2 linked regions of the Rattus norvegicus genome follow. The protein of the gene in region 1 purifies or fractionates together with the protein of each later gene. This does not show direct contact. Links are inferred from orthologs where the notes say so. Each region holds a gene or a part of one and is shown on either strand. Other genes may lie near its edges.

Region 1 (3,815 bases):
TCTTGAGATTGCACATAGATTTTAATCAGTCAGAATGGAACATTACTTTAAACCATCTGCTAACCTTCTGACATGAGTTTTGAGGACTATCATCTGTGTGGTTGATTTCTTATGAGGAAGTGAAGTTACATTGTATTGTTTCTCTTGGGCTCTTTGGTGAATTTCTCAGAGTACTAACCAAACTTTTAAAAATACTTGGTATGGAAAAATTTACCTGTATCTGAAAGGTGAAGGTTTGATTTCATTTGTATTTCATTTTTGAAAAATTAAATTTTAAAATGACTAAATAAGTGATTGACATAATGCCCATTATGGAAAGTTAGGGTTTATATTGTGGTTTTGTATATAATACCTTGATGATATGCTGTTTGCCTAGAGCACCATTAAAATCCAGAGAGCTCAGACTTCCTGATAAGAATGAAAGTTTGTACCACTTTAAATTTTAAAACCGAGAAGTTAAACTTTGGTGATCACCGTCAGTCCGTCCGCATGATCTGCCATGGCATCCTGGCAACCTGAGGATTTGGTGGTGTTCACCAGCTTGCTGTACGATATTCTTGTCTACTACCTTTAACCTCAACCTAAACAGGTTTTAGATCTGCTAGAACTTAGAGCTGTAAGTTAGGGAGACATATGTAGCAGCACTTGTAATAACAGTGTCCCAGAGAAAAACAAAGAAGATGGAGGTGGTGTGTGCTGAAGATTTGGAAATCAAAAGCACGTTTAGGAAACAGGGAGGGGTGGTGAGGCGGCTCGGTGAGTGACAACGCCTGATGACCCAAGTTGGATCCCTAGAACCCTATAGTGTAAGAAGAGACCCGGCCCTCACACATGCATGCACACCCAAGTATGCATGCATACAAACATACATATAGACAGGCAGACAGACAGATTGAATAATTGTTGTCTGGTTGGGGTAGTCATTCTAAAAGAAGTAGGATAGGGCTTGCCCTCTGGAGACAGACAGGTAGGTCTGTAAGTTTAAGGCCAGCCATAAAGTGGCCACACTTACTATAAACTGTATAGATAGAGGAAATCTGCTTTTAAAAAAGAGCAAAAGGGAATGAAGCTGTAGCTCAGTTGGGAGTGTTTGCCTAGTTTCCAGGAAGGCCTGTGTTGAAGCCCCTGTGTATAAACTGGGTCTGCTGCTCAGTCAGCACTCAGCGGTGGAGGGAGGAGAACAGGAGTCCAGGTTCATCATCGGCTGCAGAGGGCACTGGAGGCAGCCTGGGCTCCCTAAGACCCCTCAGCAAACAGTAAGCACACTGATTGTGTTAGACTCTTAACTGCTTTAAGGATGATTTTATCTCAGCCAAAGGTTTGTTACAGAGACCAGAAAAGGTGTCTTTGTTGCAAGTACCATGAATTTTAATTTGGATGTTTGGTGCATTTTTCTTGTTTCTGGTGTCAGAGCCAAAGGACAAAGCAAAGTACAGTCCTCGCTCCAGTCATCGACCTGAAGCGAGGAGGCTCCTCAGATGACCGACAGATCGTAGACACGCCACCTCATGTGGCAGCTGGGCTGAAGGTAAGCCGTACCCACCTGTGGTTTGAAGCATTTTCCACGTTTCTTTATTTTACATGTATGTTCCTCTCTTTATGAGATTTATCTCATGTGTGTGTGTGTGTGCGCGTGTGTGTGCGTGTGCGCGCGCGAGTGCTTGAGCGTGCTTGCTCACTCATGCACACACCCATGGAGGCCAGAGGAGGCCTTAGATCTCTTAGGGCTGGAGTTAGGCATTTGTGAACCTTGTGTGGGTGCTGATAACCGAGTTCCCAGCCATCCTCTGATAGAGCAGTAAGCACTGTAAACCTCTGTCCATCTCCAGCCCCCACAAGGGTCTCTTCAGTAGGCCACTGAAAGCTAGTATTATTACCTAAAATAGTTTATTATGGAAACTTCAGGAATGAAAGATGGGTAAAAATGAAAAGTCTATCTTTTTAATCATACATACCTTCTATGCATTACAAAATTACATAATTTTAGAATATCTTTCTGTAACTTCTCGGCCTTCTGCTCTCTAATTTGTGTTTAGTGATTGTCCATTTCTCCTTTTCAAAACAATAGAACTACACGGTCATTTAAACATACTTTTATGAGTGTGTGAGTGTGTTGTCCTCATGTTTCAGTACACTGCATGTGTTCCTCTTGCCTGTGCGGATGCATCCCTAGGATGGTGGTGGGACAGTTGGGGGCCACTGTATGTGTGATGGGAGTGAGACCTGAGTCCTCTGGAAAGCCAGTCAGTGACTTTATTAATGCCTATCTCCAGTCCCTGTATGGCCAGTGTTAATAGTTTCAGTGGATTGCCTCCAGTGGATTAGCTATAACTTCATTCTTCTAATGTAAACCGTAAGGTTATTTCTAACTGTCTGTTACCAGTGTTAGAAGTCATTTTAAAGAAAGGCAAAAGGGGGGGGGGGGGCGTAATGCTGCATGTTGTTAATAGAACGGGCTCCTATTATGAAGCCGAAGGCTTGGGAGTTGTTCATGTCATCCTTGGCTATGTGTCTGTAGCACTGTGAGACTCTGGAGGGAGCACGGGAAGTCTGGAAAATGGTAATCCATTTTCACATGTACAGATGTCACTCAGATGCCAGTTTAAACCTCACTTAAGACTTACCGTGATTGTCAGTGCTTTTCCCAACATAAGCTTTTGCCTAACTGCCAGGTTGTGCTGCCATCTGGTGAGGGGAGGCCTCAACTCACCAGGAAATAAAGGATCCTTAGATAATCTGGAAGGCCTCTCTTGCCTCATCCTGGGACCTTTGCTTCTCTGATAACCCTGCAGGATGTGATACGGCACTCACTCAGGTGTTCTTGTTCCCCAGGACCCTGTGCCCAGTGGGTTCTCTGCAGGGGAAGTCCTGATCCCCTTGGCTGATGAATATGACCCAATGTTTCCTAACGACTATGAGAAAGTGGTGAAGCGCCAGAGAGAAGAGCGGCAGAGGCAGCGGGAGCTGGAAAGACAGAAGGAAATAGAGGAAAGAGAAAAGTAAGCTTCATCTTTTTTGGGGGGGAGGGGCGGTCTTTTTTTCGGAGCTGGGGACCGAACCCAGGGCCTCGAGCTTCCTAGGCAAGTGCTCTACCACTGAGCTAAATCCCCAACCCAGGCTTCATCTTGATGTGGAAACAAGTGTGCATTAGAATCTGAGTGAGTTTTAGTATGGTCTCTGGGCCTGAGGTTATGGCTTCAGTCACCAAGAGTTTCCTTGTTTTCGTTCCATCCCACATTGATAGCACACTTGAGGAAATGTATGTGTAGACTCTGAAGACCTAAAGCGTAGACTTTGTGTGGATTAGAAAAAGAACTTAGAAAGCCCACTGGTATCCAGGTGTGGTGGTTCATGGCTGTAATCCCACCCACATAGTGTTCAAGGCCAGCCTGTTTCAAAATCAAAACAACAGAAACCATTGTTGAAAGTTTTGCAGGGTTCGTGACTGCTAGAATCACAATATTTACAGTATTTCAGTGCTGTTCCTTTACTATATTTTGGTTTTGGTTTTTTGAGACAGGGCTGCTCTGTAACTGGCTGTTCTGGAAATCATTCTGTAGACCTCAAATGTAGAGATCCACCTGCCTCTGTCTCCTGAGTGCTAGGATTAAAGGCTTGGGCCACTACACCTGGCTTCCTTTCCTATTTTTGAGCCAAGTGAAGTTACATGTGTTTTTTAATTTACTTATAATTGACTTATAATACTTATAATTTAAAACTATAGGTAATAGGACTTAATTAATTTTTTATTTAATTTAATTTATACTCTCATTTATTAGATCCTGACTCTAGTTTTTTCTCCCTCTCCCCTCCCA
Region 2 (3,880 bases), on another chromosome or scaffold:
AAAGCTACTCTTTGATCAGACTTTGATTTGAAGTAAATAGATAAAGTAGTTGAAGGCATCTGTATTCTTCTCCTTTTCCCAGGATCCATTTACTTCTTTGAGCAGTTAAGTACCTGGGTGTGCAGTCTTGGAGATTGCCTTAGTTTCTTTGCTTTCCAAGATTTGCTGGCTGACAATCCTGGTTGGAATGTAGGTAGAAAATCCTAAAGTCTCCAGTAACAGGATTCCAGACAGACTTAGCTTTTTAAGGGCATATGAAATGATCACTTCTCTTTTACAAGAGCCTGAATCTCCTCCTAAATATGAAAATTGACAGCCTGTTTTCTAGGTTGATTTGTAATGTGCCAGTGAAATCCTTCCCTGACCCAGAACTGTGTGGTTGATGTTCTATGGGAAAGTGCTTGGGCCTTCGGTGGTGCTTTCCGGGTACTGGTCATCACCATCTCCCCTTTCCTGTGTTTTCTAGAATGCCATAGCAAACGCGTCAACACTGGCTGAAGTTGAGAGGCTGAAGGGCTTGCTGCAGTCTGGCCAGATTCCTGGCAGAGAGCGCAGATCAGGTGAGGAAACTCTTCTGTCTGAACTTGCAAAACGTCACACTAGAGTGATTACACAATACTAGCTGACTATCGTGATGATTAGGCCCATAATCCCTGTATTTGGGAGGTTAAGCCAAGAGGGTAAGAAGTTGAAGGTCATTTGTGGCTACAAAACAAGTTTGAGACCAGCTTGGGCTATACAAGACCCTTTATCAAAAAAAGGGAAAGAAAAGGAAAAAGAAGAACAAAGGCAGGAGGCAGGGAGGGTCAATAAAGAAATTTAAGCCACTGGGATATGTATGGGGTCTTTACAAGTTGTAGTAAAACATTTCATATGGACGGAACTAGGTTCTAGAGGTGACTGAACTTCTGAGACACATGCTGTATAAAGGACATGTTGGTGGACTGACGCGCTGCATATACAGTAATGATTCCACAGGGCAACAGCTTCAGAATTCCTCCACCTGGTATTCTACTGTGTTTTTTCTGTGCTTAGATATGTACAGATGCATTCAGTTCTCTGTGTTATTGAGAGCAGTGACATGTTGTCTATGTGCATAGTTTAGGAAAACAATTGCCTTCACCAGGTGGGTTAATAGCCTCTACCATTTAGGTGTGTGTAAGTGTCAGGTTCATCTTCACAGAATAACAAACTCTCCAGTGGTGAAAAGTTTAGACCATAATCTCTGGAAGCAAGGTGTTGCTGTAAATGGTAGTTTAGTGGGTCAGCACAGGCCTTATGAAGAGCCTGACCAGTACTGTCCTTGGGCAAGTTTCATCATTAAAGGTAAATATCTTCATCTTTAAGTTTCAGATAGGTACTGTCATTAAAGGTTTTCGGGAAGACTGCTGTGTTTGCTAGGTGTTAACAAGTCTGTTGTTCAAATGTCCAATTTGTGTCCGCATGTCAAGCACTAGAGATGCACTATTCAAGTACAGTAAACACAGTACAAATTTGAGTATGAGTATCCCTGGAACGACTACCATGACAGCTTCCCAAGGATCATTATCTTTGAGCTGTTTTGGTTCTTTTTAGTTTTTGTGACCCTAGTCAGATTTAGTCAGATTGCTTGCATGAGTATGAGGTAAGGGTGCTTGCTGGAGCAAGGGCAAGTTACAGTGGGTACCCTGCTGAAGAAAATGGCTCTTCTACTTCAGCAGCTTTCAATTGTCAGTCGCTCCTCAGGGAGAGTGTATGAGATATTTTTAAGAACTGTGGAAGGGGTTGGGGATTTAGCTCAGTGGTAGAGCTCTTGCCTAGCAAGCACAAGGCCCTGGGTTCAGTCCTCAGCTCCGGGAAAAAAAAAAAAGAACTGTGGTACTGTGTGGTCTCTAGGCCCCTGGGGACAGGCAAGGTAAAATTATTTATGTAGTAACTCCAAGATGTTCGCTTTTTCCATTTAGTAGCATCTTCAGTGGTTAAAAACTGCTGGTGCCTCAGCAAGGCCAAGGGATGCTACTTGCTCTCTTCTTCCTTACTTCCACTCCCATTAAATATATACCATTCTGTCATGGTCCTCCATGAAGAAATAAAAGTGATTTTTCTGTGGTACTGAAGATAGAGCTCAGTAATAAAACCATGTTTAAGTCCCTGAGTTCAGTCCCTAGCACTGACCAATGATAAAACTGAAGATTTGAAGCAAAAATTAAAATTTGGAAAACTTGGGCTGGGGATGTAAATCTGGTAGAGCACTTCCCTGACACACAGGCTTCACCGTTACTAGAAAGACAGTTAAAGAAAATGTAGGTCTGTGGGTCTAATGTTACAAACATTTCTGGGGACGTCAGTGGGGCTGCTAATGAATCATGAAAGTCAGCATTTGAAAGACGTACAAGTGTTCAGGTGCTTGCTGTGGGTACAAGGTGCACTCAGAGTGCAAGGTAGAGTAATGGGCTGGAGGTGAGAATGGGAAGGATTCCAAGAAAAATTCAACTTCACTTTGTGAGCTGTCTGTAAGAAACTGCTGGTATAGCCAAACAACGCGTGGTAACGTGTATCCATCTGGAAAACTGCTGTTTGCTTCCAAATAATAGGCAGACTTGCCAGTAGTTTCCCCAAACATTTGAATATGGCAAAACTTTTTGGTGTGTGTGCGCGCGTGTGCATGTGTGTGTGTGGTTAGAGACAGGATCTCTCTACATAGCCCTGGCTGTTCTAGAATTTACCAAGCTGGATTTCAAACTCAGAAATCTGTAGAAATCTGCCACAAATTGTGGAACACAGTTGACAGTCGTGTGTGTGTGTGTGTGTGTGTGTGTGTGTGTGTGTGTGTGTGTGTGTGTGTGTACGTATGCACATGCTCATGTATGTTCATTTTTTTAATCAGTGTGTGTGGCATGAGAGTGAGTAGGTAATACAGAATGGACGTAACGTGTTCCGTGGTTCTTTCTTAGGGCCGAGTGATGAGGGTGAAGAGGAGATGGAAGACGGCACAGTCACAAATGGGTCCTGAGCTCTGGCAGGTGCTCTGATAAGCTCGTGGGATGTCTTGCATTTGAGCATTGAGTAACAGCCTTGCTTGTGTCAGCAACGTGGAATCTGCAGCTTTGCTGAATGATCAGAACTACTGCTGATAATTTTTTAATAGAAACCTTGAAATGGCAATGCCAATTTTCTACAAATGGTAAATAAAGGCAACCTACTGTGCTGCCAAACTGTGTGCCCTGTGTTTGCCGTGAGGTATGCGGTGGTTAAGTGAGAAATTGGAGAGCTGGTATTCCAGAATAGACATTACTCCTGCTCCTGAAATATTAGATTCTTCCTGAAGGTAAAGGCAGGAAGCCTTCAGGACTAAACACATAGGCATTCTGTGACCTTTTTAATCAACATACATGAGCATCTCACAAATCAATTTAAAATGATTTGAAAATTTTTAAATAGGAAATGAGACATTTGCTTGTTGGTGCTATAGCATGAGCAAAAATAATCTTCCAGCCTGTGGGACAGAGGCACAGAGGTCATGGTTTCTCCGTGGGGCAGGTTAAAGCACATTTTCCTTGGCATCTGGGCTTCTTACTGTATTCCTTATCTAGGAAAGATTTTGTTATTAAATACCAGTGCCTCAGTTTCCCTGCTCTGCCTTGTTGCCTTGAGAATAGTGCCTCCCACTGAGCCTCTCTTGCAGCCAGCAGGCGAATCCCAGCACTCTTCTTATCTCTGCTCCACAGTACTGGGCTGTAGGTGTGTGGGTACACAGACCCAGTTTTTTACCTGGGCTATAGGAATTTGGACTCAGGTACTTAAGCCTGCATACAAACACTCTTACTCACTAAGCCATCCTCCCAGCCCCTGGTTACAGTTTTCAAACTCCTTAGATGGTTTTGAATGTGACAAGCGTGTC

What was found.
Region 2: the proteins of Rbm17 (region 1) and Snrpa1 purify together in Homo sapiens (affinity purification with mass spectrometry; 5 studies listed by BioGRID and IntAct, with this or other methods). This does not show direct contact. The link is inferred for Rattus norvegicus from reciprocal best matches to the Homo sapiens genes RBM17 and SNRPA1.

The regions. Positions count from the first base shown.
Region 1 is NC_086035.1:71,849,827-71,853,641, forward strand, and holds part of Rbm17 (splicing factor 45), read left to right. Parts: intron 1-1,411; coding exon 1,412-1,528; intron 1,529-2,832; coding exon 2,833-2,999; intron 3,000-3,815. UniProt on the Homo sapiens protein: Splice factor that binds to the single-stranded 3'AG at the exon/intron border and promotes its utilization in the second catalytic step. Involved in the regulation of alternative splicing and the utilization of cryptic splice sites.
Region 2 is NC_086019.1:129,061,921-129,065,800, forward strand, and holds the end of Snrpa1 (U2 small nuclear ribonucleoprotein A'), read left to right. Parts: intron 1-466; coding exon 467-560; intron 561-2,933; coding exon 2,934-2,992; 3' UTR 2,993-3,194; downstream 3,195-3,880. UniProt on the Homo sapiens protein: Involved in pre-mRNA splicing as component of the spliceosome. Associated with sn-RNP U2, where it contributes to the binding of stem loop IV of U2 snRNA.